Diceros bicornis minor: one gene and its partner. The protein of the gene in region 2 purifies or fractionates together with the protein of the main gene of each other region. This does not show direct contact. Links are inferred from orthologs where the notes say so. Each region holds a gene or a part of one and is shown on either strand. Other genes may lie near its edges. The genes, in order: CBX3 and KMT5C.

Region 1 (16,493 bases), on a different chromosome or scaffold from region 2:
AACTCATACAAATTTATACCACTTGCAATGTGCTCAGCAATTTTATTTGGCTGCCTCTTAAAAAAAGGAGCCAAGAAAAGGAAAACAAGAACCCCCACCCAAAATATTAACCTACTTTCCCAACTCCTAATTATTTTACATTACTGAACATCCCACCTTGACCACACCAACTCCAAAAACTGATGTTAGACTTGTTTCCTTCCGTAAAATTTTTATTTCAGTAACACTATATATGGTGGAAGTGTTACCCAAACATAAATAAACTAACAATTACCATAGTATCTTTCCTTCAAGTCATGCAAGACCAATCCTTTAATAACACAAAATAATTTTAAAGAATCTAATAAATTACCTCCACCATATGGTCCCCCCATGTTCCTGCTACCACCAAAGTTTCCACTCTTCATTGGACCGTAATTAGAAGGCTGCTGGTTATAATTTCCAAAATCATTGTAATTTCCACTTCCGTAATTTCCTGTGGGGGAAAAAAATGGAATACTAGCTTTGCATAATGAACCTCAGAATACAATCAAATATTAAGCCAGCAATACATGTTAAGTATTTAGGACAAATCTCCCACAAAAACAAATCATTAGAATAAATGCAAAACACCTATCTACAATTCTACAATTTTTAAAGACAACTATTGACAATATTAAAATGAAAAATCTCACGTGTTAAAAGTCATTCATTTCAATCCAAAATCCCACATAAAGGTTGCAGGTGAATTTATTACCTCCTCCATAGTTGTCATAACCACCTCCGTAGCCCCCACCCTGGTTGCCATATCCAGGTCCTCCACCACCATATCCTCCTCTTCCTCCTCCATAACCAGGGCTACCTCCAAAATTGCCACCTATTATAAAATAAGCCTTTAAGTAATTACTTAGTATTTTCAGTGCCATTTGAACTGTCTTATCACACCCATTTCCAGCTTTCCAAAACACTTATTTATAGTAAAATATTTGTTCTGTGAAATCTTTTCTAGAATAGCCTCAAGGGCAGAATAGAGTATCTTTGGTAAACATCTGAGGGCAGGAAGTGCCTACCCACAACCAACTGGATAAAACCTTTATAGAGAAATACCTGTAATGCCACAGCTCTCCTCTAAATCTAAAGATATTAAGGGTGCTCCTGAAGGCATCCTGAAATACTATTTATATTTTGTGTAAGAGTTGTGGGGGCAGACAAGAGGCGAAGCCTAGTGAGAGAAAGTAGAAGAGCCACATCCTCCTACTGGTCCAAAAGATCGCAGCTCACGTTTCCCTATGAATTACCATGTCTCTTAAACAACATGCCCAGTACCCTCTTTCTGAGTAGAAATGGGGGGGAGGACCAGAAATTAGCAAACTTGCATGTAATTCAAAAAATTAAATTGGTACAGGTAGTCTCAAATTACATGTAGTTTAAATACAAGAACTCATCTTTCTCATAACACCCAATTAATATTTAGATTTCAAAACAAAGTTGGAAACGATGCGATGTAGGAGTAACTTAAGTCATGCCTAATGAGTGGTAAAGACAGAAAACAGGTCTATCACTAGCTCAGAGTTTTAATGTCCCTTTCTTATTAGGACATTTGTCACCCAAGTATCAACCTTTTTTGTACTCCAACAAAAGATACATCTAATGTATCATGTGATATAATAGTGGCTCACAACCTTAGCTGGACCCAGGAGCACACTTATGTATTTTGGAAAAGTTCCTTTGGTGACTTTTTGGATGTTCTCCTGTGGGACTTATCTTGCTAAGAGCCAAGTAAGACACAACTGCCCTTATATACACTCCCCTTAAATGCTTATCTTGGTCATATCCAGTATTCTTTATTTTTCCAGGAAAACAGACTATATAAAGTATCACATCTATGTCCAATTCTTTTGCTTAAGAAACCAAGGGATAACATGATGCCATCTTTAAATTCTCATTCAAAATCCACTCAAATGATTCTGCAACCTATACTAACAACTATAAGTACACTCTTGCTTTAAGCTGTACAACAGCTAAGATGTAAAGTAACTGTAAAGAAAGAGTCATACATTGAGAGAAATTTCACAAATACACTCAACTAGGCCAACATACAGTGTGATTAACTAAGTCTTTAAGTCACATCAAACGAAACGCAGAAGAAACTGACCTCCAGGTCCTCCTCCGTACCCATTATAGCCATCCCCAAATCCACGACCACTTCCATATCCATCTGTTAGAGGCAGAAAAAATATATTATATCCTGTTCACCCTACTCGATTCCTCACCCTGTTTTCCTCTACATTCTCTATTAGTTATCTCTGGATGAAAATTATTAGGAACCATCCCCCTTACGCTGGAAAACTGGTGTTATGTGTTTATTCTTAAAAATAAACACACAAAAGGGTGTAACTAAATCTCATTATCAGGATAACTGCCTAATTTTGGGGCTTGAACTTGGCAAGTCTCAATTTAAGAGACTCCACTTATTTATACTTAAGAGGGACACTGGACCGGGATGAAAATTTTCCTATTGGCGTCTTTATATTAATTTAGATAAATATATCTCAAGCCTAAAGCAAAAAACTTAAGATACAGACCTTTTTAAACCCACAGGCAAGCCTCTATGGTATTTTCACTCACTATTCAGGAGAATCCTCATAATTTTTAAGGTGGTTAGAATGTCATTTTAGCTTTTTTAAGAAAATTGGAGATCATAAAAGGATGTGGACAATTCACTGTCTTTGATTACAATTTTAAGAATATCTTCTTTAACTATTTTCTCTTGCCACATCAGAACATCCTACCAGGATACAACCTATTTAAAAAGCCTTAAGGATAACTTTTTAAAATTAGGTTGTACTTCCTGATTCTAATCAAAACTTAATCATATTTTTAATCAAGTACATTCACCCTAACACTTAGAACTTGAACTTACCAGATCCTCCTCTGAAGTTACTTCCAGGTCCAGGTCCAAAATTCCCACCGCCACCACGAGAATCTCCAAAACCAAAGTTGCCTACAATAAATTTTCTGGTTAGTAACAAGCACCGATACAAATAATTTTTTTTTTTTTTTACTGGAATTGAAGTTACCTCCTCTTCCACTTCTAGAACTTTGGACTTCTTGCATTTCTTGTCTAGACAAAGCCTTTCTTACTTCTGCATTATGACCATTGATGGTATGGTATTTCTGCACTGAAATGAAAAATTCAGACTCCATTAAGTCAGCATTCTATAATAGTAACCAACTCATAAATTAAAGTTTACCTTTTATTAAAATTGTAATGTTAACATATGCAAAATTTAACATATGAAGCAGTCACACACCTAATTCTTAGACACTTACACACAATCTTATCCACAGGATCATGGTCATCAAAAGTAACAAATCCAAAACCTCTTTTCTTTCCCGACTGCCTATCAGTAATTATCTCAATAGTATCAATTTTTCCATATTCCTCGAAATAATCTCTAAGATGATGTTCCTCAGTATCTTCTTTAATTCCACCAACAAACAGCTTCTTTACAGTTACATGAGCCCCCGGTTTTCCAGATTCCTGAAACAGTGGGAGAAAAAAAGGTCACCCGCATAGAAGAAACCAAATATGATTGAAAGCACACTATGTGGGTACCACAGATGGCTTCTACTCTACGATAAAATACCAAGCAAAGCAATGGCTTGTAAATAAGAATGTAGTCTTTTGAAAAATACTTCTGATAAGTCTAGAAAAATCAAAAATACAGAAACCCAACATAGCTTTAATGAGGAAAAAAATTTTCAGCTAGATACACAGCATCTAGTTAGTTCTTCCAAAAACTACATTCTAATTTTCAGTGGGACAGAATTTTCTTCACATTTATTGCACAAAGAAATTATATTTTGCTCACCTCTCTTGCAACAGCACGTTTGGGCTCAACCACTCTCCCATCAATTGAATGAGGTCTTGCAGCCATGGCAGCATCAACCTCAGCCATAGATGAAAAAGTTACAAAACCAAATCCTCTTGATCTTTTGCTTGCAGGATCTCTCATTACCTATACGACCAAAGGGGAAACGTTAGCATTTGATCTCATTACTTGTGTTATGAACTAGCAGTACGAATTGATGGCTGATTTAAGTGATTTTTTCCACAACTCACTTAACATTTTAAAAACAGAAGCTCAACAGCTGAAGGACTACTATCTGTAGGCACTTTTACATTTAACGTACCACACAATCTGTAAGTTTTCCCCATTGCTCATAGTAGTTCCTCAAACTTTCTTCTGTGGTTTCAAAGCTCAAGCCACCAATAAAGAGTTTACGGAACTGTTCCTTTTCTCTCTGCAAAGGAAAACACCATTTCAATTTTTATTTACATTTTCTCTTTGTATGCAGGAAATTAAATTCTTAAATATGAGGTGACCTGCTGGCAGAGTACCTTTTTCCTCTCCAAAGGAACAGTTTCTAAAGTTTTCTGGGGGGGAAAAAAAAAACTTACATCAAATTTAAACCATATGTTAAACTGCATATTAGTTGTGTTACACCAAAAAAATTGCCTCAGCTGAACTACACAAGTTTCAAAGTCATTAATGCTTGATCTAAATTTACTTGACATTAAATTATTTCAAACAAATTTATTATCACTTATTTTTAAAAATACTTTCTGAAGAGAAAGAAGCAAATCTACTCCCTGGTCATTGAAGGGTTAAAGGATTCTCATCAAAATTAGCATTCAATCCTATATCCCACAGAGAAGTTAAAGTTAACTTTTAAAAGCTCAGTTGAAATCTTTTTTTTAAACATAAAAACTGTTGGTTCCTTACTTATAACTCATAGTTTACCATTTACTTCTGGATTCAGTATATCTGAAAAGTGACATTTTCCCCTCATTGCTCCCTCTGGTGGTGATTCTAATGCATCTCATCAAAAAAAAAAAAACCCCCTGGTAAAGATCATTCTTTCCCATACACCAACTCTCGATTAGGGAAAAAAATTCAAACCTTCAGTATATGCTCCAAAACATCCTTAAAATTTACCTCTCTTCTGACCAAGGCAGACTTTTTTAATGACCGTTGGTGTCTAAAGCTTCAAGTTTTAACATAACTGACTTTTTGTGGGCACCCCCATGTTTGGTTATTTAAATGACAGTACAGAAACAATCCGATTATTGGACCAATAACCATAAATACAATGAATGTAATCATTTTCTCCCAAAAACCACAAAAACGTTTAAATGACCACTGTGACTATTCAGTAGTTACATATTTAACTATCATTTACACTTCAATTCATTTACCAAAAAACCCGAAACCTCAAGTGTATTTAACTTAGTGGCCACCTGGCAAACTACACAAGTTACATCTAATTTCACAAATAAAAAAGAAAAAAGGCTAGGCTGAAATTTTTTAATCCCTATAAACCAGCAAGCAATTATGTTGCATTAATAGCCCTGTATTTGGGACTCTCAGTTAAAGAATGCATCATTATAATTTCCAGGTGACTAGGTTAAAAAATTAAAAATATTCAGAAACCCAATAAATCATAACGTCCAGGACAATCTGCTGTAAGTGTATAATACAAATTAAAATGTAAAATATAATTTTCAATACAACAGGCGATAACTTATTCCCAGCAAATAGCATTACAGCTCTCAACCCACAGTTCTATGGAGGTTTCTCCTTCAACGCATGATATTCTCCCAACAGCTCAAAAAATACAGCGATAAGAAACAATTTACAGATTTTCTTCCTACATAGTTAACTATTTTCAGGATTCTGAAAAATTTTAAAAGATTAACAAACTATTAAACTAGCTCCCGAGATGTTTACTTAAAACTACCAAAATGGTTAATTATACGGCATATTGATATTTGGATTCTTCACTTTACACCAAATACTGTCAGTAAACACGTCTTTTAAAACCCAAATTACGGAAATTTTAAAAAGCACATCTACAACAATTTTTACACATCACCAACAAAAGGCAAAAACTCATTACTTACCTCTGCTTTTTCCAAACTTACCCGATGTCCACTATCGATTACAAACAAAGTTATTTTTTAAGCGTGCTTAGGGTCAAAGAAAATACTCAGGTAGACCCCCTTCGCTTGAGACCTTATGCTTATCAATGTAATGATCAACCACGATTGCAAACATAAATGAGAAAAGTGACAAAGTTCAAATACAGAGCGGCCTAGCCTAACACAGTTCTGTATACAGCAATACACGCACTGAAGGACTGAGCCATGTTTTAACCGAAGTACCACTAAGAATAAACTCAATTTTTTTCTTCACTCTCCTCAAAATTTCTAACATCATTTACAAGGATCCGTAGTCTTATCCAGTAAAGATCACATTTCCCAGAAAAAATAGTATTTAAAAAAGGAATAAATTCTACCATTCTAAGGGAATCCTTCAGGAAAAAGTCCCCCCCACCTCCTTCCCCGCTGCCACCCACGCAGTCGGTAGTAATCTGACGGTTCCAAATTCTGACTTATTTCTCAAGTTTCCTGCGATTCAACTGTCTTTTTCATCACTGCAGGCCCAAACAAAACCGTTACTCAAAGAAACAGGACTGGAAAACAAAATGTCTTCTTTGTACGATGGCTCGCTTGAAACCGGCCCCCCACCCTCGCTCGCTTTACCTCCTCGGACGCCGCGCGCCCGGGCCCCGGAGGAACCCCCCCGCCCGCTGCTCGCTGCGGCTTCTGGACGCAATGGCGCCATTTCATCGAGGGGAAGGGAGGGAGCCTCTAACGAGGTGCGCAGGACTTTAAAGATCCAAGCTCACAAAACCCTCGGAATCCACCTCGAAACGGCATGAAAACAGCCCAAGAAGAAAGAAAATTAGTTAACCACTTCTCTTCTTCGGTAAAAGAATCAAACTAGCAGAATTCAGAGGTCGAAAAGAAAAATGCTGCGAGGAAGGAGAGAAATGAAAATGGCGGCCGCCAAATCCGGTTCCCGGGAGAGAGGGGGAGGGGAAGCTCCGCAGCCTCGCTCACGCGGACCCGAAACTCGCCGAAACGCTCAAACGGGGGCCGCCGGGGCCCCCCAATCGGCGTGCTTCACGAGGGGAGTAAGAATTGCCGCCTCGGCGCTCCGCTTTCACTACCGCGGGCCGCGTCCGCCATGTGGAAGTTCCCCATCCCCCACCCCCAGCAAAGGGAAATGGCGCCGGGAGGCTGAGGGTGGGGAAGGTGCTGTACAATCAGGCCTCCGCTAACAGCCCTCTTCGAAAATATCCTGCGACCAACCGCTTCTTAAGTGGCCCGATTTCACTGCCGCTCTCCGTCGGAGGCGGGGGGGCCGACTTCCACCGAGGCGCCAACGGCCTCGCCATGCCCTTTCCAATAACTCATTGATTTCAAACCCGTTACCTCCATCGCGGACTCAGTCGCTTCAGCCCGATTTCCCGCAGCCGAGCGAGATGAGAGAGATCTCCGCGGACGAACACGGACCGGACTCGTCCTGGCGCTGTAGTGAGAACTGCCGCTGCTCGAGAAACAACACCGCTAAGAGCACCTCCGCACAAGACCCGGCGTTGCTGCTACTGCCGCTAGAGCCGCTGCCGCCGCTTTTCTAGAACCTTCCCCCCGACTAACGCGTCTTCCCCTACGTCAGGCCGTTGCGTAAACGCCCTAACCGCCGCCAATGGCGGGAACGCTCTACCTCCTCCTTACGCCAAGTACGTACTCCTCCCCCCCTTGCGGCCAGCGGTGGTGCTTGACGTCACTTGCGTAAATGGGCTCAGTGAATTGCGGAAGGCGCGAGTCCTGCGTATTTCTCTCTCTCCGAATTGGGTCCAGCCCCCGCCTTAGCGCAGGGCAGGTAAGAAACGGTCGCGCAGTTTGAAATGAACGCTGCCGGGAGGAGCTTAATCCGCAGCTCTCAGGTCCAGCCCCCTCAGCCCAGGAGGTGGTCCCTGCAGCAACGCCGTTGATAATCCGCCCCCCCTCGCCCCCGTTCTCCCGCCTTAAAAATCTTTGTAGCCTCCCCCCTGCGTTTTCCCTCCCCCACCCCCTTCCCCTGCGCCGAGGACTGACTCGGCCCCTTCCGGAAACACCCGAAGCGACTGTAGTCAACAAATTACACTTCACCCTCCACCAACCTAACCCTGGCCGACGTCTTTGGGACTGACCCCTCGGGTTCAGAAAAGGTCTTTGCAGAGGGTGGTCCGAAAGGGGCACTCTTTCTCAGTGTCCGATTCCCCCCACCCAAATTTATCTTCATCCTCTCACCCCCAACGTTTGGAGGCACGCACCCCCAGGGGCGAGGAAGTGGGCGGAGTCCGGTTTTGGCGCCAGCGGCTGCTGCTGCGAAGCAAAAACGCCTCCGCCGAGAGGACTCTGGACAGCGTCCTCGCCCCTCCTTCCCTCTTCCTCCCCTCCGGGGACCACCAGGCGCCACGCCGCGAACGGTAAGTGCCGCTGTCGCCACCGCTCTCCCCCCCGCCCCCTGGGCCCGGGCTCCCGGCGGGCGCGGCGCCGCGCGGCCCCTCCCCCCCGCCGGGCGCGCGCCCCCTGCCCCGCCCCTGGCGGCCGCCCGGCGTGGGCGGTGCCACCCTCCCCCCCCCCCGGCGGCCGCCCCGCGCGCTGCTCCCCAGCCCCCTCCCCCTCGGATGTGGCTGGAGCTGGAGGCGCGCAGGGCCGGAGACGCTGCAGACCCGGGACGCGGAGCAGCTCGGAGGCGGTGAAGTCGGTGTCTTTCTTTCTCTCTAGTTCTCACTCGGTGGTGGCGCTTAACATACCACATGCGCCCCAGCTCCCCACCCCCTGGCCCCTGCTTCCCGTCCGACCCCGAGTCGGGAGCTGGTGGGAAGGAGCGGAGAGGCGAGCGGAGACCCCGCGGCGGGCCTGGCGCTGCGCCGACGCCTGTAGTTAAGTGGGGGACGAGACTGTCCCCGAGAAGGTGGAGAGTCGTGGCGACAGTCGCCTTATTTCTAGACAAAGCGCATTTTCCTCTCCCCTCCCCCATCCCGGATCACGATGAGGGGCCCTCCTCCCCCTCCCGGGCTTGGCCGGCGACTGGGGCCTCCAGGGAGGGCGGTGCATTCTCCCGCATCCGCGCGGCCAGCTTCCTGGAGGCTGCGGCGGGCGCTCCGTTATGTGGCCGCCGCCGGGGGCGAGGCGCGAGCCTCGTGGCGCAGTGCCCTTGAGCCCCCGCGCGCGGCCTTTGTTTCTCCCCGCGGATGCGCTGACCACGAGGCCCGCGCTCCCGGGTGGGGGGCGGGCGCCCGGCGTTTAGGCCGCATTCAGCAGGGTGGGGCCTGGGGCTTGGGAGCATATGGACGTACCGAAGAGGTGACTTGTTTTCAAAAGTGGCACGAAATGGGCCTGAAGCATCTCAGTGTGTTTTTCTTTTAGTGTTTTAACTAGTGATTGGGAAGAGGGAGGGTTTCTAAGAAGAAACCAAGTTGGGATTACATAGGCGACTCTTTGGACTGTTAAGAGGTCTCGACGAAAAATTCACGGTAGTTTAGGAAATTGTCCGATTTTGAACCAAAATATTTGGCCATTTTGTAAAGAATACTGAATATGTATAAATGGCATTTGAATTGAAAAAACATATTTGTCTACTGTTTTTCGGCCAGCGAAGCTGTTTCAAGTCCCAATGACCTCAGTAAGGTTTTCTAGACTCGCTGTTAGAACACTGATATATTCTCAGGCATATTCTCTCTAATAATTTACGCAGGAGCTTAAATCTGCTTTTGTATGGATTTGTATACATGTTTGATAATATGGGCTACATAGGTGGGGGTTGGAATCCAAACAAAACTTGTATTTAGCTACCTTTTTTGTGTCGTGCAAACTTCCTTTTAACTGTCATGCGTTTTTCTAGTAATAGCTCTTCAAGTCTGCAATAAAAAATGGCCTCCAATAAAACTACATTGGTAAGTTAATGAAAACCTGAAATATGTAAGGATCTAACTCAAAATTTTTTCCCCAAAAATTATAACTTTGCGTCTCTGTGGTTCAGAAATTTACATCTATATGTATTCCCCAGTCCCTTCTCTCCCCAGTGTTGTTATGGGGAGAATTAGGGGCCAAAACGAAGTCGTTACATTGAGATATTTACTGACTTGCCTGGATAGTGTTTTAATTCATTGAAAGAAACCTAATCTTGGGAGGATAGCGCAATGTGAATTTTAATGAGTATTTTTATCTTGAAATACAAATGCACAAATTTATGTAACATGAAAGAATATGTTACAAGCATAGAGAAAGCAGTAAAGTCTTGTTGATTGGCATAATATTTTCTAAATCACTGTACTGAATTCTAGAGAAAGCAAGTATTTTCAGTATTGCCCAGTGTCAAAAACAGGCACCTTGTACACTTAGATTGGGGCAGAAAGTGAATCTTCCAAATTACTTTCATCACGTTGTCATATTTCAGACTTGCTTATTCTAAAGTCAGACGGGCCTTAAAATTAAATAATTGCAGTGTTCTGGTAATACACAAAATGAACACAATCATGTATGTCCAGGAAGGAGAAAAGACTCGATCTTTCAAGCAATTTTTGGTCTCTAGCAGTTTCTTAAATCCAAAGTTTGCATTCTCAGGCTTCATTACAAGTTCTGCAAATGTGTAAAAGCCATGTCAAGTTAGAAGTTTAAAAAAAACACGAAATTCAGTTACGGTTCCCACAGTATTTAATTCTAACACTGCGTTAATAATAATCGAAAGCATATAAAGGTGAGTGTTAATATCTAAATAAAGCAAAACATTTGGTTTTAGTTTGTATTGTCTGTTGGGTTTCACAATTAAAAGGGCAAGTTGGTGATTTTAATTTGTGCCATCATAGGTTTGCCCATTTAAGTCAAATTTCCTGGGAAACAAAAACAACTATAAAGCCTATGTGGTGAGTCTCTGTGGCACAAATGGTTCCATCAAAGCCATCAGTGGGAAAAGCTCTTAGCATGTTCTGTGCCCCCTCAGGATGGAAGTGTCCTTCAAATTCCATAATCAGTAAAGGAAAGTAGAGATAATAAATTGATTTTATGAACACCTGTGTTCAAGTATTGGTGGGGAAGGGAACTAGCTGTTCATGAGGCTTTGAGGATGAGTATAGATACAGAAAGCAAGCAAATAGATGATTCCATTAAAATTAAGTTGCTTTTGCATATAATTTGATAGTTTTCAATGTCTGTAACTTACTGGTATTTAAATATTCTTTTGTAGGGGATCACATATTGACAACTTTAAAAGTTTTTATTTGACTTTTCATTTTAAAATAGTGTTGTGAGATGTGTGCTATAATTTAAATGGTAAAGTGAATGAATTTTCTTTTGAAAAGAAACAAATGAGCCCTTGAAATTAGCTTGAGTGCCATAGTAGTAAATACTTCATTTTTTATGCCAATTTTTTTCTTAGTATTTTTGTCCTTTTCATTTTCTGTGTTTATTTTTGTCATCCTCTTTATTCTGTTAACCTCTTACCTTCATGGACATAGCTGTTCTGGTTTTCATCTAGGATCAGTATCTAATAAGCTTTTGTCTACACCAATTTTTCTCCACTCTTCCTACTACCATTCTTACTTGCTTTTACTGAACAGAAGCAGAAAGCTATCCGACGGGGTGCAATACCCAAGTATCTTGATTAATGGAAATTGTAAGGCCTGACTTGGAGATGGTATCCAACAAAATCAGATGTTTGCTGCATTTTTTTTAATTCCAGAAGATTTTTATTTCTTTGTGTGTATGTGTACCTCTAAATGACTACATGGTTTTAATGTCCTTTTGCAATCTTGAGGCATTGCTGTTAACTTATATGCTATATTGAGGGATGACTTTAGTAACTAGGCAATTAGGATTTTTTTTTAATAGCAGCTTTAAGATGAAATAATTTTAAAACGAACATAACATTTGAGGTTTTACCCCCTTAGTCTCTCCTAATTAACCATTTCTGTTTTCAAAACATTTATTCATTTTCAATCCTTGTAACAAATCTGAGTTATTAGAAAATGGCAGGTTGAGCCTGGTCTGCTTCTCTCAAATAGTGTTATGCAAGAAAGAAACTTAAAAACTTGTTTGAAGTGAATTTCGTTGGCTACCAGTTTAGACTCTTTCTCTTGAGAAATGAAGAAAGCAGGATTTTTTTCACAGAGAATAAAAATAATCCAGCATTTTGGCCTCTTGAAGTGACAGCATTATAGCTTTGTCCCAAGTGGTCAGTAATACTGTCTACAGAGATTATGGAAAAATAATCTGTCCTTTTTAACTTATTAAAAAGGTCTTCTTGGTTGACCCTGCAATTGATATCAGGATTCTGAACTGTGTTTTCATTCTGCAGTTCCCTTTTTTCTATATTGTTGAGGCTTTTAACGTTGCTGTTTGAATTGGGAAAGGGGTTCTTAGTGTTTGGGGGCTGTAGTTGTAATGGGTCTGTGGTTCACTTAGTAAGGCCTGTCGCTGCTACTTACTTTCCTCTGTGTCATCCTCTAATACTTTCTAGTTGGGGTTGCTGTGTTGTAGTTAAAATGAGTGAAAATTTGAGTAAATTTGGTCTTGTAGACTAGATAGAAATAAGAGTAGGAAAACATAACAGTATTTTCCAGATAGTGTTTTTGATTGTATTATTTCAGTGAAGGGTGGTGGGTGTTAGGCTTGAGCTAAAGCAACAGGATTAAGCATGCCTTTATTTTATTGATTGTCCAGTGACTTTTATCTTTTCAGAAGTTGTCTGTCCTGGGATATAGAAGTAAAAATTTAGATGTCAGATGCAACGATTAAGCAATTTAGCCTTTAAAATGTACTCAAAAATTAAAAAAGTTGTTTCTTAAATTTCTTTTGTTTTAGCAAAAAATGGGAAAGAAACAGAATGGAAAGAGTAAAAAAGTCGAAGAGGCAGAGCCTGAAGAATTTGTGGTGGAAAAAGTCCTGGATCGACGCGTAGTGAATGGGAAGGTGGAGTATTTCCTGAAGTGGAAGGGATTTACAGAGTAAGAAATCTCCTTTTATTGTATGTTTAACTGCACCTAAGTTGCATTTAAAATTTTTTTTTAGCCTGAGATCTTTTATCGGTTTTCACATAGGTGTCTTCAAATTTAAAGATACCTTTAATCCAGGGTATCTTGTTTGATATCTATTTAAAAAGAGCCAAGTCTTTAGCCCAGTGTTGTAACTAAGCAGATTTGAGGTTAGTTGATTACGTTGGAGAGTCAAATTTATAGAATTAGAGTGCAGTTTACTATGTAAGTAATGCATTTTAATGTAGTTGGATTTTGTACTAATTAGAATACCTACTCTACATACAGAGGGCACTAAAAAACATTGAAGCTATATGGTGTAGATTAGTGAATCTTAAACAGAAGTGCTCATAATCCAGGTCCTATGCTAGATTTATTGTATCCTAATCTCTAAAAAGTAGAATCTGGGCATTTTTTAAGCTCCCTAGTTCCTCATGTTCTTTATTACTAACTGCTCTCATAATCACTCTTGATAACGTTAGATGTATTGTAAGTAACTTACATGCAGAAATTTTACTCATACACTTACATTTATCATGTACTAATCTACTTGGATTCTTCTGCTTTATACCACCAAGACAGATCTAGGCTCCATGGGCAGTGACTGTTGATAATGGATAGGTGGAAATTGACAGCAGTTTTCTGAGCATGGTGGAGATGTGGAGTATGGTAGTCAAATTGTGATGCTTCAAATAGCTGTTATCTACTACTTCCCCCAACATTCACTTTTGAAGCCATCTCCATAGCAATTTGGGAATAATGAGTTGATTGTAAGATTTAGGCTTCCCTATTTTATCCTTCTAGTGCCCTTAGTTGACCCTAAGTATATATCATAAGTTCATAATTTACCACTAGAAGAATTTCCTGCAGATAGCAGAACCAAGGAAAAATAAGTCTGAACTATTTCTAAAGTAGATTTAACCAATTTGCCAAAGAATTGATTATCTTCATGTGGTAGACAGGCTTTTGTTTTTTGTTTTTTTTAAGAATCCCATGAGACATTAAAGTCTGTTTGTCTACGACCGACCCATCAAAACATTAGGAAACTACTCCTCTCTCTTTCTTCCCAAACTTAAGGCAACTAGTATGATTGAGAACCTGCTATATGCAGTATACTGTATTAGTTAATAATAGAAGGCTATAGTGAAACTACAGAACGGAGGCTCCACTTCAGCTCCTTTGTCCTCCTCTACCCTCTAATGTAGATTTGCCAGTTTTGGAGTCCTAGGATATCCACAGACGAAGTTGTAACTAGAGGTTAATGGCACCTTTCCCACCCTCTCTAAAATGATTAATTTCATTCTATCTTGTTCTGTAAAGGCTTTTTGGATCAGAGCACACAGAGTTAGCAAGTCTATCACTAGTATAGGATGATCTTACTTTCATATTTGGCAGTTGATACTCATTTTCATTCCAGCTGTTCTGAAAAACACACAGAAATGGTCATCTCGGCCTTATATCAAAGGTTGGCCAACTTTTTCGCTAAAGAAGCACGTGGTAAAATACTTGAGGCTTTGTGTGCCATAGGTCTCTTGTCACAGCTGCTCAGCTCGGCAAATGTAGTACAAAAGCAGCAATAGACACTACGTTAAAAAAATGAGTGTGGCTGTCTTCTAATTAACACTTTGTTACTGGGCCCTGAAATTCAGATTTCATATAGTTTTCATTTTGAAATTTTTTCCCAACCAATTAAAAGTGTAAAAATCATTCTTAGCTTATCAGCCATGCAAAAGGCTGGATTTGACTTTTGGGTTACCAGCCCCTGCTGTATATCATTTCTGAGCACCCAGCAGAAATTGAAAATACTGTCTCACATTTGAAAATGCCTCAGAATTGTTGTTTTCACACACAGTATTGGAGGCCCCAACACTAGGCAGATCTAATTAATCTGACAAAGTAATTTGGGGTAGGAATCAGGACCCCACATTTTTTTTTTTTTTTTTAATTTTGTTTGTTTTTTTCCCCCAAACCCCAGTAGATAGTTGTATGTCATAGCTGCACATCCTTCTAGTTGCTGTATGTGGGACACGGCCTCAGCATGGCCGGAGAAGCGGTGCATCGGTGCGTGCCCGGGATCCGAACCCGGGCCGCCAGCAGCGGAGCGCGCGCACTTAACTGCTAAGCCACAGGGCTAGCCTAGGAACCCACATTTTTTAAAATTTCCAGAGAAATTCTGAAGTGGGTTGTCTGCATAACTTGGAAAAATATTAGCTCCAATTATTCTGCTAAAGTCAGGTTCTGTTAACTTGGAGGTAATGTAGCAGATTGCCCACTTAGTAGGGGCTGTGCAAGTAAACACAAAAGGAAGTAGAAGCAGGGTTGTCTCAGAAGAATGTGGAGGATAGGGAGGAAACGGTTAGCATCTGCAGTACAGAGGACATTTTTTCAGATGTATGTTAAATGGATTTGGATGATGGTGATGAACCATGTTTTACTGAATGAACTTTTTTTTTTTTAACTGAAAACAGTGCTGACAATACTTGGGAACCTGAAGAAAATTTAGATTGTCCAGAGTTAATTGAAGCATTTCTTAATTCTCAAAAAGCTGGTAAAGAAAAGGATGGTACAAAAAGAAAGTCTTTATCTGACAGTGAGTCTGATGATAGCAAATCAAAGAAGAAAAGAGATGCTGTAAGTATAAAACATTGCCCACCAGACTGGCTTTTTGTAAAAGGTTGATGGCTTGATTTTTTAAAAATATTTTTAAGATACTTTTAAAAACTCAAATACTTTTAAAATATCATTTAAAAGCCTTTTTAAATGCTTAATATTTAGGACAAAAGGGATAGGCATGGTTTAGCCTACCTTGTATAAATGTGCAGTAAGTGCTTATACCACTTAAATTGTTGTGCTAATGTTATTTTGAGTGGATTCATGGGTTTGATGCCTGATCAGTTTCCTGTGTTCCATGACAGGCAGTATTAAATACAAAGAACACTAAGATTAGATCACTGAAATGCAATGAAAACGATCCACGTAGCAAGCACATCCTGATTGTAAACCACTAGTGGCATTGACCACCAAAAAGTGCTTTGGCTTGTGATCTTTGTATTGCCAAAGTATTCCCAAACAGTACTTTGATTTTGAAGTATATAATCTTTGGTAATAAAAAATTTTGTATGTTTTATTGGCATGAATAATCAGTTCATTCACCACATGTGTATTTTGATCTAGTCTTTGTTTTACTAATGTCTGTGTGGCTTTGGGCAAATCACATAACTCCTTGCTTCTACACTCAACTTCAAAACATTGTAGTTGCCCTGCCTGCTGGCCTAGCATGGCAATTTGGGAAACGGTCTTGGTTCTGAATTAGTATCTAGGCCTGAGGACTAAACATACAATGCAGATTTATTGATAAGGCCTTTAGATTTAAAATTTAATCATTTGAACTAAATGCCAAGTACTCTACAGATAGTCCATTAAATCTTCGTGACAACTCCATTAAGATTATAGGTATTGTCCCCATTTTACAGATGAGAAACAGGTTGGCTACAAATTTGGTTCTGGATGCTTTATCAGGCAAAGCGAAAAGGTAACAATGTTAAGAATTAGTATACATAAGTTGAAAGTCAACCACATGC
Region 2 (16,232 bases):
CGCGGTGCCTGTCCCGCCTCCTGGCCCTCCAGCGCCATGTGCCCTGTCTGGGATGTCCTGCCGTGCCCCCATTTTCCTGCAACACCTAGGAAAATCCTACTCCTCCTTCCACGCCTGCCTCTGGCGTCACTCCTATGCGGCCTCCCAGGGCTGCCCCGCTAGACAACTGGCTCCTGTGCCCCGAGGAGACCAGCACATGCCTGGTCACAGCCTCTCACGGAGCCCTGCCTGGTTTCCTGTCTCACCCAGTGTCTGCACGCGGGGCCAGGCCAGGGCCACACCTTATCCCCCGAAATCCACGTAACAGCTCTACAGAGTCCCAGGAATGCTGACCAACGCCGGTGTGCACTGTGCACCTAACCTTCAAGCTGTCCCGGGAGGCAAGTCCTAACCGCTTCCCGTCTGAGACGAGAAACCAGGGCCGAGGGCGGCAGAGCCAGGACCTAAACCCAGTTCTAACTCCAGAGTCTGAGCTCCGGACCCCCTCGTCACACCTCAGGGCTCCCAAAAACAGCTGGACGAGGCCCACGCTTGGCAGGGTGTGCACCCAAGGCCTTCCAGGGCTACCTCCCCTCCATTCCTTGGCTCCCACGCGCTCCCTGCTCCTCCACACAGGACCAGCAGTGCACCTGGCCTCTCCTCCGCCTTGCTCCCTCTGCCTGGAAGCCGGCCTCCAGGGCTCTCTCTGGGCTCAGCCCAGGTGGCATGCATGGGCAGGTTCCTGCCACTCAAATGCTCTGCCTCCTGCTATCACAGCTGCGGGCAGTGGGCTCTTTCTGTCTTCCCATCACCACACGCCCCACTCAAACGGGCCCAGCCCCCAGCTCAGATTCAGAGGGAAGAACGCTGCCACCAGGTGGCCGCCCGGGTTCCAGTGTGCCTCTAGCCAGAGCCCTTTCCTCCCTCCCCTCTCCAAGGGCCACAGGCACAAACACCTGCTTCAGCGAACGGGCAGCCAGGGTGAGTGAGTGCTTTGTCAGGTGGGGAGACGCAGGACAGTTTCCTGCTATTCACTGACCAGAAGGCCCCTCCCCCGGGCCACCTCATCTCCCACGTGCCCACTCCTGGGGGTCCCCAGGTCTCACCTTGCAGTTGGGTTTGCAGTCTGGAGCCAGCCGGGGCCAGGGAGAGAAGAGACTGGGTGAGTGGAGGGAGAGGGAGAGGGCGGGGTGCCCCCCTCCCCGCCGGCCCTGCCCCCGCCACGGCCCCCACCGTGGTTGATGAAGGCGGCAGGGCCAAGCCACAGCTGGGCGCTGCGCTTGCGGGTCGAGTACATGATGCTGAAGTCGTTCTCGCCGGCCCTCAGCAGCCCCTCGTCGGCCTCCCGCAGCTCCGCGATGCAGCCCACCAGCAGCTCCAGCTTCTCATTCTTCTTCCTGCCAAGAGGCCAGGCCACAGCTCTACAAGCAGCACCTTCCCAACCACCCTAGCCAGGGACAGATGCTTCTCATCTGGGAGGCACCTGGGACTCCCGCAGGCCAGCGTCGTCCGCCTCCGAAGTCTCGCAAATCCACTCACCACGGCCTCTACACCTGCCCGGGGGACTGACCCACTCCAGCCACGGCAGCAGGCCCTCAGCTCCTCCAGCCCCAACTCCCCGCTGCCTTGCGCCTCCTGCAGCCCCGTCCTCGCCCCCTCACCTCACCAGACCCCCCAGCTCATCCTTCGGATCCCAGCTGAGGCCTGGCTCCCGAGAACACTCGCAAAGTTCCCCAGCCAGCTCCTGAAGCCCTGAGCAGCTGCGGTCAGTACCTGCGTGTTTACTCGGCTATCCCCTGCCCTCCTGCTACACTGAGTGGCTGGCAGGGCCATCTTGCTCTCTGCCCTGTCCCGCACCCAGACTGGCAGGGGCTCAGTCGGGATGAAGACAGGCCTGCACGGTCGTGGGCACAAGGTCAGTCCTTCCCGGCAGCCCCGGGAACTCTAGGGTCGCATCCCCTAGCAGGGCTACAGTGGGTGAGGAGGGTCTTCAGAACCAGCCCTCGACTCCTTCCTCTCTGCAGGAAACCTCCTGAACTCTGGCATCTTCGTGGCCTTGACGCCACCAGAGGTTTCCTCCTTGTCCCCTCAGTGACGCCCCCATCTCCTCCAGAAGGGACAGGGGTCTCCTCTGCCAGCAGCCCCTGGGGAGGGGTGCCTCCCATCAGGCGTGGGGCCCTTGGCTGCGAGTTCTGCCCTCTTACCAAGCTCGGGTAGACACAATCTTGGCCCCGTTTGTCTCCATGGAATAGCGGGTACAGGGCAGGATGGTAAAGCCGCTTTCAGGCAGGAAGGCGCGGAGGTAGCGATAGATCTGGGGGAGGTGAGCGGTGGGTGGGGTAAGGAGGTGGGGCAGGGTCGTCCTCCGCCCTCTCTCCTGGGTGCTAGTCCTGCTCTGCCACTGACTCGCTGTGTGGTCTCAAGGAACTCACTTCCCCTCTGGGCCTCAGCTTCATCATCTGTCAAGTGAAGAGGCTGGACTCCATCTCAGAGGGCCCCCAACTCTCCTCTCCCAGGATTCTCTGAGCCTCGCCTCAGACGGTCCCAACGGCTAGGAAGTCAGGGAGTCCCAGGGGGCTGTGCTGAGGGGCACGGAGCCCAGGGCTCCGGAGAGTCTGCCCCACAGGGAGGAGGACCTGGGACAGGCTGAGGTGACAGGAGAACACGCGGGCGAGGGCGGGGAAGGAAGGGCGCCCTCACGTGGGTCTTGAGGGCAGCCTCCTGCCGTGGGCCCCGGCTCTGGAAGTAGTGGGCCATCCAGCCTCCCAGCGTCAGGGCCCGGTACGCAGCCTCCAGGTCCCGCTGCCTCAGGAAGGCCTCCAGCGCCGAGCGCAGGTGGTGCTGTCGCCGCAGGGGGGGCACGGGGCTGGGGGAGAGGGCATGCCTGGGTCCCGGGACCTTGGCCTACTCCCTCGGGCCCTCCCGGGCCCCGCCCCCACCCCCACTAGGAGCTGAGGGGAGGACGGGGCTGAGGGGTGGCGGTGGAAGCAAGGGATCCCCCAGCCCTCTCCCCAGGCCGCCTCACCTGACGTTCATCTTGTGGGTGCGGAAGCCGAGGTAGGGGTCCAGGACGAGGCTGGTGGCCAGGTCGTCATTCTCACACAGTTCTCTGGCTGTCACTCTGTCGGGCCCCATGCTGCCCCATGGACCATGCTGCCTCTGGCCGAGTGGAGGGGGCAAAGCAGGGGCAGGGGCGGCACCCCCGGCGGGCGCTTGCTCCGGGCCACTTATAAGCTGTGCGGGACTCTGGCAAGCCCTTCCGTCTTCTCATCTACACGTCAGGGAGAATAGCAATGCTGACTTCACGGGCTCTCAGTGAAGGTGACATGCAACAGGTACTTCTGACAGTGGGGGAGCCCCCAAAGAAATCTAGTCTCCATCATTAGTATCTCCATCTCCTCAAATCCCCCACCACATGACCCCCCCCCCCACGTGCACACACACTCACACACGCAGATTCCCTCACACCCCTACACCACACCCCCACACACACGCATCCCTACTGGCCCCAGGAAGGCTGATTAATTGGCAGTCTCGGATAACCCTAAAGGCTTAGCGCTGCAAGAGGTGGGAGTCAGGGGGGACCCAGCTCCACCTCTGGCCCTCACCAAGGAAAAAGCCAAGGCTTCCCGCCCCGTCGGGACTGACGGTTCCTCTGCCCACCCCTACTCTCTCCAGGCTCGGCCTTGGCCTCCACCCCACCCCCCATCAGCCCTCAGGAGGGAGTCTAGGGAGGCTCTGGGTGAAGCCCCAGGCAGCCTGGAGGGGGGTGAGGGGAGGGAGAGCTGAGGAGGGATCCCGGCACCTGCTCCCTCTCCAAGGATTCCAGGGGCCAGGGGGGGGCTGGAGGACAAAGCGGGGGAGGGGGGAGAGAAAAAGAAGGGTATGGAGAGGCAGAACAGGTCCATAAAAAGAGGAGAAAGAAGGGGATTGGCAAAACGGAACAAAACAAGACCCCTAACCCTGAGAGCGGGGGGCCTGCTGGGCACCCACACCACGGTGCTTCACAGAGTCCACAGAGGACAGCAAGGAAGGGGGACTAAAGAGAAGTCAGGAGCTAGAGTGGCTGAGAAAGGGGGTCTAAAAGACAGGAAGGCTGGGGATAGATAAAGAGGGGCGCTGCGGGAGGGCCCTGGGACAGAGCGGAAGCTGCAGGGGGGCATGTGGGTAAAAACAAAACACAGGGACCTCACAGAGGGACCTGGGGCCAGCCCGGGGAGACAGAGAGGGCTGCAGGAAGGCTTGGGGGTCCTGGAGGGAGCCCAGGCAGGCCATGGGAGACCTGGGGTCCACAGAGGTGCTGGGGGAGACAGGGCTCCAGGAAAGCTTGGGAGTCCTGGAGGGAGCCCAGGCAGGCGAGAGGGGAGACCTGGGGTCCACGGAGGGTCCTGAGAAGGTGGAAGTGGGCCTAGGGATCCAGAACAGGGCTTGGAGAAGCAGAGAGGGACAGAAGTAGTTCTGGGGATCCAGGGAGGAGCACAGGAAAGCCGGAGGAGAGAGTCTGGGGTCCAGGGAGGGACTGGGTGGGCAGTGAGGGTCCAGCAATAGGAGTCGGGGAAGGAGACAGGGGCTTGGGTGGGTAGTGTGGGTCCAGGGGAAGGACCTGAGGTCCAGGGAGGGAAGTAGGGGAAGCAAACAGGAGCCTGGGTGGGCAGTGAGGGTCCAAGGGAAGGGCCTGAGGTCTGGGGGGCAGTGGGAGAAGTGGACAGGGGCCTGGATGGGCAGAGAGGGTCCAGGGGAAGGGCCTGAGGTGTGGGGGGCAGTGGGGGAAGCGGACAGGGGCCTGGATGGGCAGTGAGGGTCCAGGGGAAGGGCCTGAGGTCTGGCGGGCAATGGGGGAAGCGGACAGGGGCCTGGGTGGGTAGTGAGGGTCCAGGGGAAGGGCCTGAGGTCCAGGAAGGGGAGTGAGGCAAGTAGACAGGGGCCTGCGTAGGCACTGAGGGTCCAGGAAGAGGAGTGGGGGAAGCAGACTGGGGCCTGCGTAGGCAATGAGGGTCCAGGAAGAGGAGTGGGGGAAGCAGACTGGGGCTTGGGTGGGCAGTGAGGGTCCAGGGAGAGGAGTGGGGGAAGCGCAAAGGGGCCTGGGCGGGCAGTGACAGTGCAGGGGAAGGGCCTGAGGTCCGGGGGGCAGTGGGGGAAGCGGACAGCAGCCTGGGCGGGCAGTGAGGGTGCAGGGGAAGGGCCTGAGGTCCGGAGGGCACTGGGGGAAGCAGACAGGGGTCTGGGTAGGCAGTGAGGGTCCAGGGAGAGGAGCAGGGGGAGACAGGGGCCTGGGCGGGCAGTGAGGGTCCAGGGAGAGGAGTGGGGGAAGCGCAAAGGGGCCTGGGCAGGCAGTGACGGTGCAGGACAAGGGCCTGAGGTCCGGGGGGCAGTGGGGGAAGCGGACAGCGGCCTGGGCGGGCAGTGAGGGTGCAGGGGAAGGGCCTGAAGTCTGGAGGGCATTGGGGGAAGCGGACAGGGGCCTGGGCGGGCAGTGAGGGTCCAGGGAGAGGAGTGGGGGAAGCGCACAGGGGCCTGGGCAGGCAATGAGGTCCGGGGAGGGGAGGGGAGAGTCAGAGGGCGAGCTGAGGAAGGCCGGGGAGCGGCAAGAGGCCTGGGTGAGGAAGCACAGGGAAGGGGCTGGGCGCCGAGAGAGCCTGAGGCTCGCGAAGAGCCAGGAGACTTAGGCGCCTGGACACGAGGAGGGACAGGGTGGGGCGGGGGGCAGTCGGGGCTGGGGGCGACCAGGAGCCAAGGCGGCGCGGGGCGGGGGCCGAGAGGGTGCTCAGAGGTCGGGCCCCGCGCCGCCCCTCACCCGCTTCTCCTCCTCCTCCACCTCCTCCTCAGGCGCCCGCGCCGCCGCCGCCACCACCTCCCACTGCCTCCTCCGGCTCGCGTCAGACACCGTCGCCGCGCCTCCCGTCTGCCCCGCCGCGCCCGCCCCGCCACGGCGACCGCGGCCTCCCATTGGCCAAGGCCGCCGCCACTCCTCAGCTCGCTCCGCTCCCATTGGTCGAGCCCCACTCTGCCCCTCCCCGCCCGACCCCCGTCAGTGCCCCCACAAAACCCCGCCACGCCCGCGCTGCCGTCAAGTGCCGCCAACTGCTGCCAATGGCTCCCACCGCTGTCCCTCCGCCGCTGCCATGGAGACTATCCCCGCCCACTGCCCGAAGTCGACGCCCTCATTGGCCGAAAGCGCCGTCGCTCCAGGCGAAACTTGGGTTTGGGTCAGGTTACTCGGGTCCAAGCGGAAAGAGGGCGGGCTCCACCGGCTCCAGAACCCGTATGTGATTGGCTGGCCTTGGAACGGCTCATCCTTCCATTGGCTAAGGTCTGAGCCGGTCACCGTAGAGTCGCGACCTCTCTATTCTCTTTCTCTGGTGAAACCTTCAGCCGCAGCAGGGAGACAGCAGGAGCAGGCCGGAGGGGCGGTGGGGGGTGGTAAATGCGCGCGCACCTTCGCCCAGCCCCTCCCCGCCCCGCGAGCCCTGCGGTTGCCACGGCGACCAAACTTTATTGACAACTCTCCCCGGATACAAAGGGCTGTCTCTCTCCCTCCCTCCCAGACCACCTTCTCTTTCCCCAAGTACCCCTTTAATTTTGGGAGTACCCACAATAACATTCTGTGGGGGAAGGGGTTGGAAACAGGGAGACTGAGAAGTGGGGGCTTTGGAGAGAGCCCTGACTTATGGGGCGCTCCCATGGGACACCCCCCCAATTGGGATCACCCTCCCCTCCAATCCTACAGGCAAACATAATTAGCCATTCATCATAATTACGCCCAGAATAATAAGCTCCGCACTTGGAGCAGGCGGTCTTTGTTTTGCTGAGTGCTATATATCCTGTACGCTTGGAACAATGCGTGGCACGGAGTAGGTGCATCGTTAATATGTTATGAATGAATGAATGAATGAATGAATGAATGAAGCTCATGGTTTCTGCGTCGCTCTGTGGCGTTGAAGAAGTGGCTTGCCGTCTCTGGGCATCTATAAAACAAGAACCACACTTGTCCCTCTCTGAGGGGTCTTCCTTAACACACTCCGAGGTGTCCTCCATCCGTGATTCCAGTCTCCCACCCTCTGTTCATACTGTTCCTTCCCCACTAGGACTACTTCCAGCCCTGAGAGACCCTTTCCCCTGGATCAGAATGGCCACAGCTCCAAAGGAGAGAAACAGCCTCACCCAAAGAAAGGAAGTCAGCAAGCAGAAAGGACTCTATAAAAACCTTAGCTCTCCGAAAAGTCCTATCAGTATCTGAATCTTAAAAGTACGGCCCTTCTACTCGCCGGTACACCCTAGAGAAACTCACGCAAATGTGAACAAAAAGACAAGCACAAGAAAGCTCGACAGTAGTGTTTGTAACGGTGAAAAACTGGAAACGACTTACATGTCCATTACACGGAGAATGGATAAATGGATCATGGCATATTCATACAGAGGAACACCATACAGCAGTGAAAGAGGGTGAACCGGTGCTCCATACATCAACCCCGACAACCCCAAAGCGTCGTGTTGCTGTTTGCAGAAGTCTACATCGTCAAATGCAGGAAGTTTTAAAACACGTAAAACAGGGTTGTGTGTGGATGTTGTAAATGTCTACAAACATGCACAGGCATGACAGAGGGAGGGGGAGCCCTAGTGGTGACCCCTGGGGATGCCGTGGAAAGAATGCAATCAGGAAGGTTACGTAGGACATTGTTACGGGTAATTTTTTTTTCAAGCCCGGAGGTGGAAACCATGAATTCACTATATTCATTATCTGTTCTTTTTCTACATGTCAGAAATATTTCATAATACGAATAAAATTTTGACCCACCAATTTCACTTCCAGGGTTTTATTCTGAGGAAATAACTGAACAAGTGTTAAATATTTATACATAAAGATGTTTGTCTCAGCATTGTTTAAAAAATAGGCAAAGCCTTAATGTCCAACAGTAGGAGATTGGTTGGACCGATTACAGCACATCCACCAGATGGAATAACAGCGATACCTAACGGTTACTGTGCTCTTAGCACACGAAGCAAGAGGAGCCGGACACGCGAAAGGCACATATGGGATGATTCCGTTTCTATGAAATGTCCGGAATAGGTACATCCAGAGAGACAGAAAGCAGGTTCGTGATTGTCAGGGGCTGGGCGCTGGGGGGCTGGGGAGTGACTGACAATGGATGTGGGGTTTCCTCTTTGGATGAAGAAGTTCTGAAACTAGAGAGTAGTGATGGTTGCAAAACGTGGTGCATGTACCTAATGCCATTGAATTGTACACTTTAAAATGGTTAAAATTGTCAATTTGACATTATGTGTATTTTACCACTAACAAAAAAAAAAGAGAGAGAGAAAAAAATGAAGAATCACCTCGGGAATGTAGTGGAAATATAGATTCTAAGGCTCAGCCTCCGAAGAGCCTGGTTGAGTATTTAATAATCAGTCATTTTAGAACGTTGCTACCCAAAGTGTGGCCTGTGGACCAGCAGCATCAAGCAGGATCACGTGGACGCTTGGTAGGAATGCAGAATTTCCAGCTGCAGCCCAGACCTCCTAATCAGAATTACCCAGACTGGTGATTGGAATGCTCCAGAATGTTTGAGAAGCATGCCTTGGAAGATGCCTTTGAAGGTGGCTTCTTCAGACCATATGTTCACACACTGGAGGGACATTGTGGGCTTGCTAACTCCCAAGGTGGTGCATGGCTTATGATCAAGGGGAGAAACTTGTTATAAAACAGTAAATTCAGGGGGCTGGCCCCGTGGCGTAGTGGTGGGTTCACGTGTTCTGCTTTGGCAGCCCCGGTGCTTGCGGGTCTGGGTCCTGGGCGCGGACGTATACACTGCTCTTGAAGCCATGCTGTGGTGGCGTCCCACGTACAGAATAGAGGAATATTGACACAGATGTTAGCTCAGGGACAGTCTTCCTCAAGCAAAAAAGAGGAAGACTGGCAACAGATGTTAGATCAGGGCCAATCTTCCTCACCAAAAAAGAAAAGAAAAGAAAAGAAAAAAACAGTAAATTCAGGATGATCATATTTTGAGGGGAAAGGGATATCTATTTACACGTATATATAAATTAAATGATTGAGGAGAGGATGCGGAGAAAAGGGAACACGTGCACTGTTGGTGGGAATGTAAATTGGTGCAGCCACTATGGAAAATGGTATGGAGTTTCCTCAAAAAATTAGAAATAGAATTATCATATGATCCAGCAATCTCACTTCTGGATATATATCCAAAGGAAATGAAATCACTATCACAAAGAGATAGTGGCACTCCCATGTCTACTGCAGCGTTAATCACAATAGCCAAGACATGGAAACAACCTAAGTGTCCACCAACAGATGAATGTGTAAAGAAAATGTGGTGTATATATACACACACATGTATATATGATGGAATATTACTCAGGCATGAGGAAGGAGGAAATCCTGCCATTTGCAACAACATGGATGAACCTGGAGGACAATATGCTAAGTGAGATAAATCAGACAGAGAAAGACAAATACTGCATGATCTCACATATATGTGGAATCCAAAAAAAAGTCAAACTCATAGAAACTGAGGAGTAGAGTGGTGGTTACCAGGGGCTGGAGGGTGGGGAAATAGGGAGACATTGGTCAAAGGGCACAAACTTCCAGTTATAAGATAAATAAGTACTGGGGGTGTAATGTTGACCATGGTGATTATAGTTAAAAATAATATATTGTATATTTGAAATTTGCTAAGAGACTAGATCATAAGTGTTCCTACCGCACACACACACAAAAAGGGTAACTATGTGAGGGGATGGATGTGTTAACTAGCTTGATAGTGGTAATCATTTCACAATATATACACATTCAAACCATCGTGTTGTACTCCTTAAACACATATAATTTTTTTGTCAATTGTACCTCAACAAAGCTTGAAAAAAAATAAATGGTTGGGGCCGGCCCCGTGGCTTAGCGGTTAAGTGCCCACGCTCCGCTACTGGCAGCCTGGGTTCGGATCCCGGGCGCGCACCGACTCACGGCTTCTCCGGCCATGCTGAGGACGCGTCCCACATACAGCAACTAGAAGGATGTGCAACTATGACATACAACTATCTACTGAGGCTTTGGGGGAGAAAAAAAAAAGGAGGAGGATTGGCAATAGATGTCAGTCAGAGCCGGTCTTCCTCAGAAAAAAGAGGAGGATTAGCATGGATGTGTTAGCTCAGGGCTGACCTTCCTCACAAAAAATAAATAAATAAATAAATAAATAAATAAATAAATAAATAAATAATAAAAACTGTTTAAAAAAATAAATGGTTAAGCGGGAGTTGTCTGTTTTCATATGTTATTTGTGTAATAACAAAATGTATATAATAATAGAATAAAATATAAGTATTACATGCTATACGGTAATTTATATACATATCTATCTATCTATATACCTATGCATATACACACATACACACACATGTACATCTCTATCTATCTATTTGTGTCTCATCTATATCATCATTATCATCATCATCATCATTGTGCTCAAAATTCTGCAATGGATTCACACCTTGGTAGCCAGCCTCCAAGATGACCCCCAGTGACCACATCCCCTTCTGGGATTCACACTGTGGTGTAGCTGCTCCCACACTGAGGAGGGCTGAGCTGTGTACCCAAAAGGATAGTGCAAAAACGTTGGCATGTCGAAGGCTAGGTCATCAAAGACATTGTGGCTTCCACCTTACTCTCTTGGGGATCATTCCTCTGGGGGAACTCAGAGCCATGTCGAGAGGTCATTAAAGCCACCTTGTGGAGAAGTGCACACCGAAAGGAACTGAGGTCTTGTGCCAACAGCTGGAGAGGAACTCAGGCTTCCTGCCAACAGTTTGACAGTCAGGTGAGTGAGCCACCCTGGAACCAATCCTGCTGTCTGGAACCAAACCAGCCAAGCCTTCGGAGGACTATGCTCCCATCGATCGACAACTTGACTGCAAGTCAGGAACAACCCCAAGCCAGAACTGTCCAGCTAAGCCACTCCTGGATTCCTGACCCATAGAAACTGTGGGAAATGATAAACGTTTATCGTTGTCTTAAGCAGCTATTGTTAACTGATCTACACCTACATGAAAATCTGAAGTTCTTACAATGGTCCCCCCGTTATTCCTCTGACCTAACTTATTAACTGTTCTCCCATCACTCACTCTGTCACAGTCCCGTTGGCCTTCTTGCTGGAAGCCAAACTTTCCACTTCTCAAGGTCTTTCCCTGCCAATCTCTCTGCGGAGAAAGCCCCGCCCACTCTCTCACCAGCCTCTGGTCTTTGCTCAAATGTCACCTCCTCAGGGTGACCTTCCCTCACGCCCTGGCTGGAAGACCCCACCTACCCGAGCCATCGCCTTACTCTGCTGTATTGCTTCATAGTCTCGGGACAAGCTACATAATAATTTGTGGGTCCCAGAGCAAAAAGAAAATGCAGAGCTCCCTGTTCAAAAATTATTAAGATTCAAGATGGCGACAGCAGGCATTAAACCAAGGTGGGGCCCTGGGTGACTACATAGGTCACATGCCTATGAAGCTGGCATTGCACGGTACCCTACCCTACCTGACATCATATATCTCTGTTCACTGGTTCTTTGTCCTTCTCCCCAGTTGGAACATAAGCCCTAGGAAGGCAGGGACCCTTGTTTTGCTCAGGGCAGAGTCTCCAACGTCAAGGGCAGTGCCTAGCACATCAGTGGCACTGGATAAAGACTTACTGAATGATTAAATGAATAACAACAAATAAGGAAGTCTGATCCCAAAGGAGACAGAGTGCCCTCAAAAGAGCTCTATTACCCATGGAACGGGAGAAAATCCTCACAAATCACATATCTGATAAAGGATTTGTAATCCAAAATATGTAAAGAATACTTACAACTCAATATTAAAAAAGACAAAAAACCCAATTAAAAAATGGACAAAGGTGGCTGGCCCCGTGGCCTAGTGGCTAAGTGCAGCACACTCCACTTCGGCGGCCCGGGTTTGTGGGTTCGGGTCCCGGGTGTGGAAATACACTGCTCGTCAGCCATGCTGTGGTGGTGACCCACATATAAAATAGAGGAAGACTGGCTCAGATGTTAGCTCAGGGCTAGTCTTCCTCAAGAGAAAAGAGAGGAAGATTGGCATCAGATGTTGGCTCTGGGCTAATCTTCCTCAGCAAAAAAAAAAAAGAAAAAGAAAAAGAAAAATGGACAAAGAATCTGAACAGACATTTCTCCAAAGAAGGTATACAAATGGCCAATAAGCACATGAAAAGATGCTCAACATCATTGGTCATTAGGGAAATGCAAATCAAAACCACAATGAGATACCACTTCACATCCACTAGGATGGCTATAACCAAAAAGGCAGATAATGCGAAGCCCTGTTGAGGATGTTGAGAAGTTGGAACTTGTGCACTGCTGGTGGGGATATAAAATGGTGCAGGCACTGTGGAAAACAGTCTGTTAGTTCCTCAAGATGTTACCATATGACCCAGCAATTCTACTCCTAGGTCTCTACCCAAGAGAAATAAAAACATATGTTCACACAAAAACTTGTACACGAATATTTATCACAGCATTATTCATAACAGCCAAAAGGTGGAACTAACCCAAAAATCCATCAACTGATAAATGAAAAAAACAAAACGTGGCAAGGAAATGCTGACACATGTTACAACATGGATGAACCTTGAAAATGTTTTCCTAAGTGAAAGAAGCCAGACACAAAAAGACAAATATTATATGATTCCACTTATATGAAGTACCTACAATAGTCAAATCTGTAGAGACAGAAAGTAGAATGGTGGTTGCTAGGGGCTTGGGCAGGGGCAAATGGAGCGTTATTGGTTAATGGGTATAAAGTTTCTGTTTGGGATGATGAAAACGTTCTGGAGGTAGATGGTGGTGATGGTTGCACAACAATGTAAATGTACTTAATACCACTGAATTGTACACTTAAAAGTGGCTAAAAGCTAACACTTATGTATATTTTACCACAGTAAAAAAAAATCTAGAGCAAATTCATATTGAATGGTGAAACACTGAAACTTTTTCTTTCAAGTCAGGATCAAGACAAGAACGCCCCCTTACACTGCACTCAGCACTGTTCTGAAAACAGCCAGTGTCGTAAGGCAAGAAAAAGAAATGAAAGGTGTAAGAATTGAAAAGAAAGAAACAAAACCGTCATTAGTCACAGATGTGATTATATACCTAGAAGATCCAAAAGAAGCTCCTGATAAAATATCAGAATTAAAGAGAGAATTTAGCAAGGTTGCTGGATACAAAATCAATATATGAACATCAATTGCATTTCTATTTACCTGTGTGTCGGGGGTCCCCAAGACGACCTCATGTTTGGAAATTCACTAGGACTTATGGGACTCAGCATAGAGTTGGACTCATGGCTAAGCTTTACGACAGTGATGTGGGATCATAAGGGGAAAAGTCACAGGTGGAGTCTGGAAGAATCATGTGCGGGTTTCCTCATGCTTTCTCCCTCCCATGAGGATCGCAGAGCTCATTCTTCCTCCAGAAGCAAAAATGCAGCAACATGTGCGTGATATTTTTGTCCAAGGGGGCCCACTGGAGACTCAGCGCCCAAGGCTTTTATTGGTGACCAATCACGTAGGCACTGTCTGCCTAGCACATACCAAAATTCCAGATTCTCAGAAGGAAAGCAGGCATTCAGCATAAACCACACAGTCTGCACAAACAATCCAGGCACAGTGAGCCACTCAGAACACTTGGACAGCCAAGTCCCAGGACACCAACAAAAGGCCAACCTCGCAAGCATAATAGCCAACTCAGGTCCACTACATTGACCATTTTCTCTTTAATCATCAACACACTTTTGTGTGTGTGTGTGTGTATGAGGAAGATCAGCCCTGAGCTAACATCTGCCAATCCTCCTCTTTTTGCTGAGGAAGACTGGCCCTGGGCTAACATCCGTGCCCATCTTCCTCCACTTTATATGGGACGCCACCACAGCATGGCCTGACAAGCAGTGCGTTGGTGCGCGCCCGGAATCCGAACCGGTGAACCCCGAGCTGCCGCAGCGGAGTGCACGCACTCAACCACTTGCGCCACCGGGCCGGCCCCCATCAACACATTTCTAAAATAAAAATTTAAACAAATACGGCTTCCAATAGCATTTATAAATATCCAGCACCAAGGAATAAATTTAACAAAAGATGTGCAAGACCTCTTCACAGAAAATCTGTAAAACCTTATTGAGAGACCTTAAAGAAGATCAAAATGAATGAGGAGATATATGCTATGTTCATGGATTGGAAGTGAGAAGGGAGAGAGTGGGATGGAAGATTTAAGGAGAATGAAAAATGTTTGGGCCATTCTCTTCCCATCTTCCTTTCTTTTCCCAGTGTGGAGGTAGTAAGGGGTGGGAACACAGAGGTGGCAGGTAGCAGAGATGGCCAGCTCAGTAGATTTACATATTTGCTCAATGTAACCAATCTCAGTCACATGGCCATTGTCCCTGTCTCCTTATAGCTTTGCTTCCTCCAGAGGTTGAAACCTCTTGAGGGCTCAACTGTGTGTTCTTAGCTCCCAGAACTTGGATGGATGGATGGATGGATGGATGGATGGATGGATGGATGGATGGGTGGAGAGAGAAAGAAGTGCGCGTGTATGTGTTTGTGCATGTATAGTTGGATGGATGGTATGGTAGACAAATGACCCCCAAAGATATACATACTTTCTAATCCCTGGAACCTGTGAATATTACTTTATACGGCAAAAGACATGATTAAGGTAAAGGACCTTAATTGAGAGCAGGACCTTATCTTGGATTGTCCCAGTGAGCTCTAAATGCCATCACATGTACTATATAAGAGAGAGGCAGAAGGCAATTAGACACAGAGACCTGCACAAAGGAGAAGGAGGAGAGATTGGAGGAATGCTGGCAGCTGTAAGCCACAGAATGCCAGCAGCCAAGGAACGCCGGCAGCCACCGGAAGCTGGAAGAAGCAAGGAACAGATCCTTCTGAGGGAGCACAGCCCTGCCGACAGGTGAAACTGATGTCGAAATCCTGGCCACCAGAACCTTAAGGGAACAAATTTTTGTTGTTTTAAGTCACCAGATTTGTGGGAATTTTTTTTACAGCAGCCACAGGAAGCTAATACAGACGGTTGATTAAGTGGATTGGATCAGTGGGAAAGTGGATGGTTGAATAGAAGGATGGATTGTAGGGCAAATGGGAAGAGGGGATTGATAGAACAGATTAAAGAATGAAAGAACATATGGGTGGATGAATGGATAGTTGAATGGATGGATGGAGCTTTGAGGGCTGGAAGAACATAAGAACAAATGATGACTGGATAGATAGGCAGGTGGGTGGATGGGTGGATAAATAACTAGTTGGATAAATGCACAAAGGCAAGAACATATACACAGATGAATGGATGGGTTGGGTGGAAGGTTGGATGGGTGGATATGTGGATGGGGATTTGAGGAGGTAGCATGGAATGTTGGAAAAAAACACATTTTAGAATCTGACAGACCTGGGTTCTGACCCCAGCTCCTCCACTCAGTAGCTGAGTGACATTGGGCAAGTATGGTAGCCAAGGTGGCTCACTCTTCAAGAAAGAACTTGATCGACGGTGAGGAATGCGTTTGGCCAACAGCCCATAGCTGCAGTACCTGCAACTAATATTTTTTGGGGATTGAGGTCACATTCTTTTCGGGCAGCCACCCACCAATGACTAAGCATGGGGGGTGGCTACTAGAGCCTGGCCATTTCCACCCACTTCTCTCATGGCAATCTTTTTTTTTTTTCTTAATTGAGATAAAATTCACATAGCACAAAATTCACCACTTAACCATTTTAAGGTGTATAATTCAGTGGCATTTAGTGCAATCACACTATTGTGCAACTATCACCTCTATCTAGTTCCAAAACATTTTCATCAGCCCTCAAAGACGTGATTAAGCAATCACTCGCCCTTCGCCCCTCCCTCCAGCCCCTGGCAACCACCGACCAACATTCTGTTTCTATGGATTTGTTGACGGGAAATCTTTGCACTTCATCTCCCCAGTGGGGCTGGCTGGGGTTTCTCAGAGATTCACAGTCTGAAGCTCTTCCAACCCACGCCTTCCTTCCCCGTCTCCTTTCCCACGGGGCAGACCGACCTCCCTGCCTATTTCTGCTCCCTCTCTCCTTTATCTTTACTGGCATCACCCTCCAGTAAATCCCCAGCATTGCTAATGCCATTGCAGCATTTTCTTCTGGGAGGACCCAACGACCCAGCAAGACTCTTTCTCGGAGCCCCAGCTATCTACTCTAC

The links.
Region 1: the proteins of KMT5C (region 2) and CBX3 purify together in Homo sapiens (affinity purification with western blotting; 3 studies listed by BioGRID and IntAct, with this or other methods). This does not show direct contact. The link is inferred for Diceros bicornis minor from reciprocal best matches to the Homo sapiens genes KMT5C and CBX3.

What each region holds. Positions count from the first base shown.
Region 1 is NC_080742.1:51,184,312-51,200,804, forward strand, and holds the start of CBX3 (chromobox protein homolog 3), read left to right. Parts: upstream 1-8,260; 5' UTR 8,261-8,364; intron 8,365-8,547; exon of another isoform or gene 8,548-8,641; intron 8,642-9,785; 5' UTR 9,786-9,813; coding exon 9,814-9,837; intron 9,838-12,742; coding exon 12,743-12,885; intron 12,886-15,380; coding exon 15,381-15,543; intron 15,544-16,493. Other genes in the region: HNRNPA2B1 (heterogeneous nuclear ribonucleoproteins A2/B1), read right to left, coding at 353-475, 737-856, 2,135-2,197, 2,903-2,983, 3,060-3,161, 3,313-3,523, 3,855-4,001, 4,177-4,287 and 2 more.
Region 2 is NC_080773.1:33,333,124-33,349,355, reverse strand, and holds the start of KMT5C (histone-lysine N-methyltransferase KMT5C), read right to left. Parts: upstream 5,865-16,232; 5' UTR 5,795-5,864; exon of another isoform or gene 5,774-5,794; intron 3,354-5,773; exon of another isoform or gene 3,251-3,353; 5' UTR 3,115-3,250; coding exon 3,005-3,114; intron 2,846-3,004; coding exon 2,680-2,845; intron 2,674-2,679; exon of another isoform or gene 2,439-2,673; coding exon of another isoform or gene 2,412-2,438; intron 2,294-2,411; coding exon 2,184-2,293; intron 1,377-2,183; coding exon 1,213-1,376; intron 1,106-1,212; coding exon 1,086-1,105; intron 1-1,085. UniProt on the Homo sapiens protein: Histone methyltransferase that specifically methylates monomethylated 'Lys-20' (H4K20me1) and dimethylated 'Lys-20' (H4K20me2) of histone H4 to produce respectively dimethylated 'Lys-20' (H4K20me2) and trimethylated 'Lys-20' (H4K20me3) and thus regulates transcription and maintenance of genome integrity.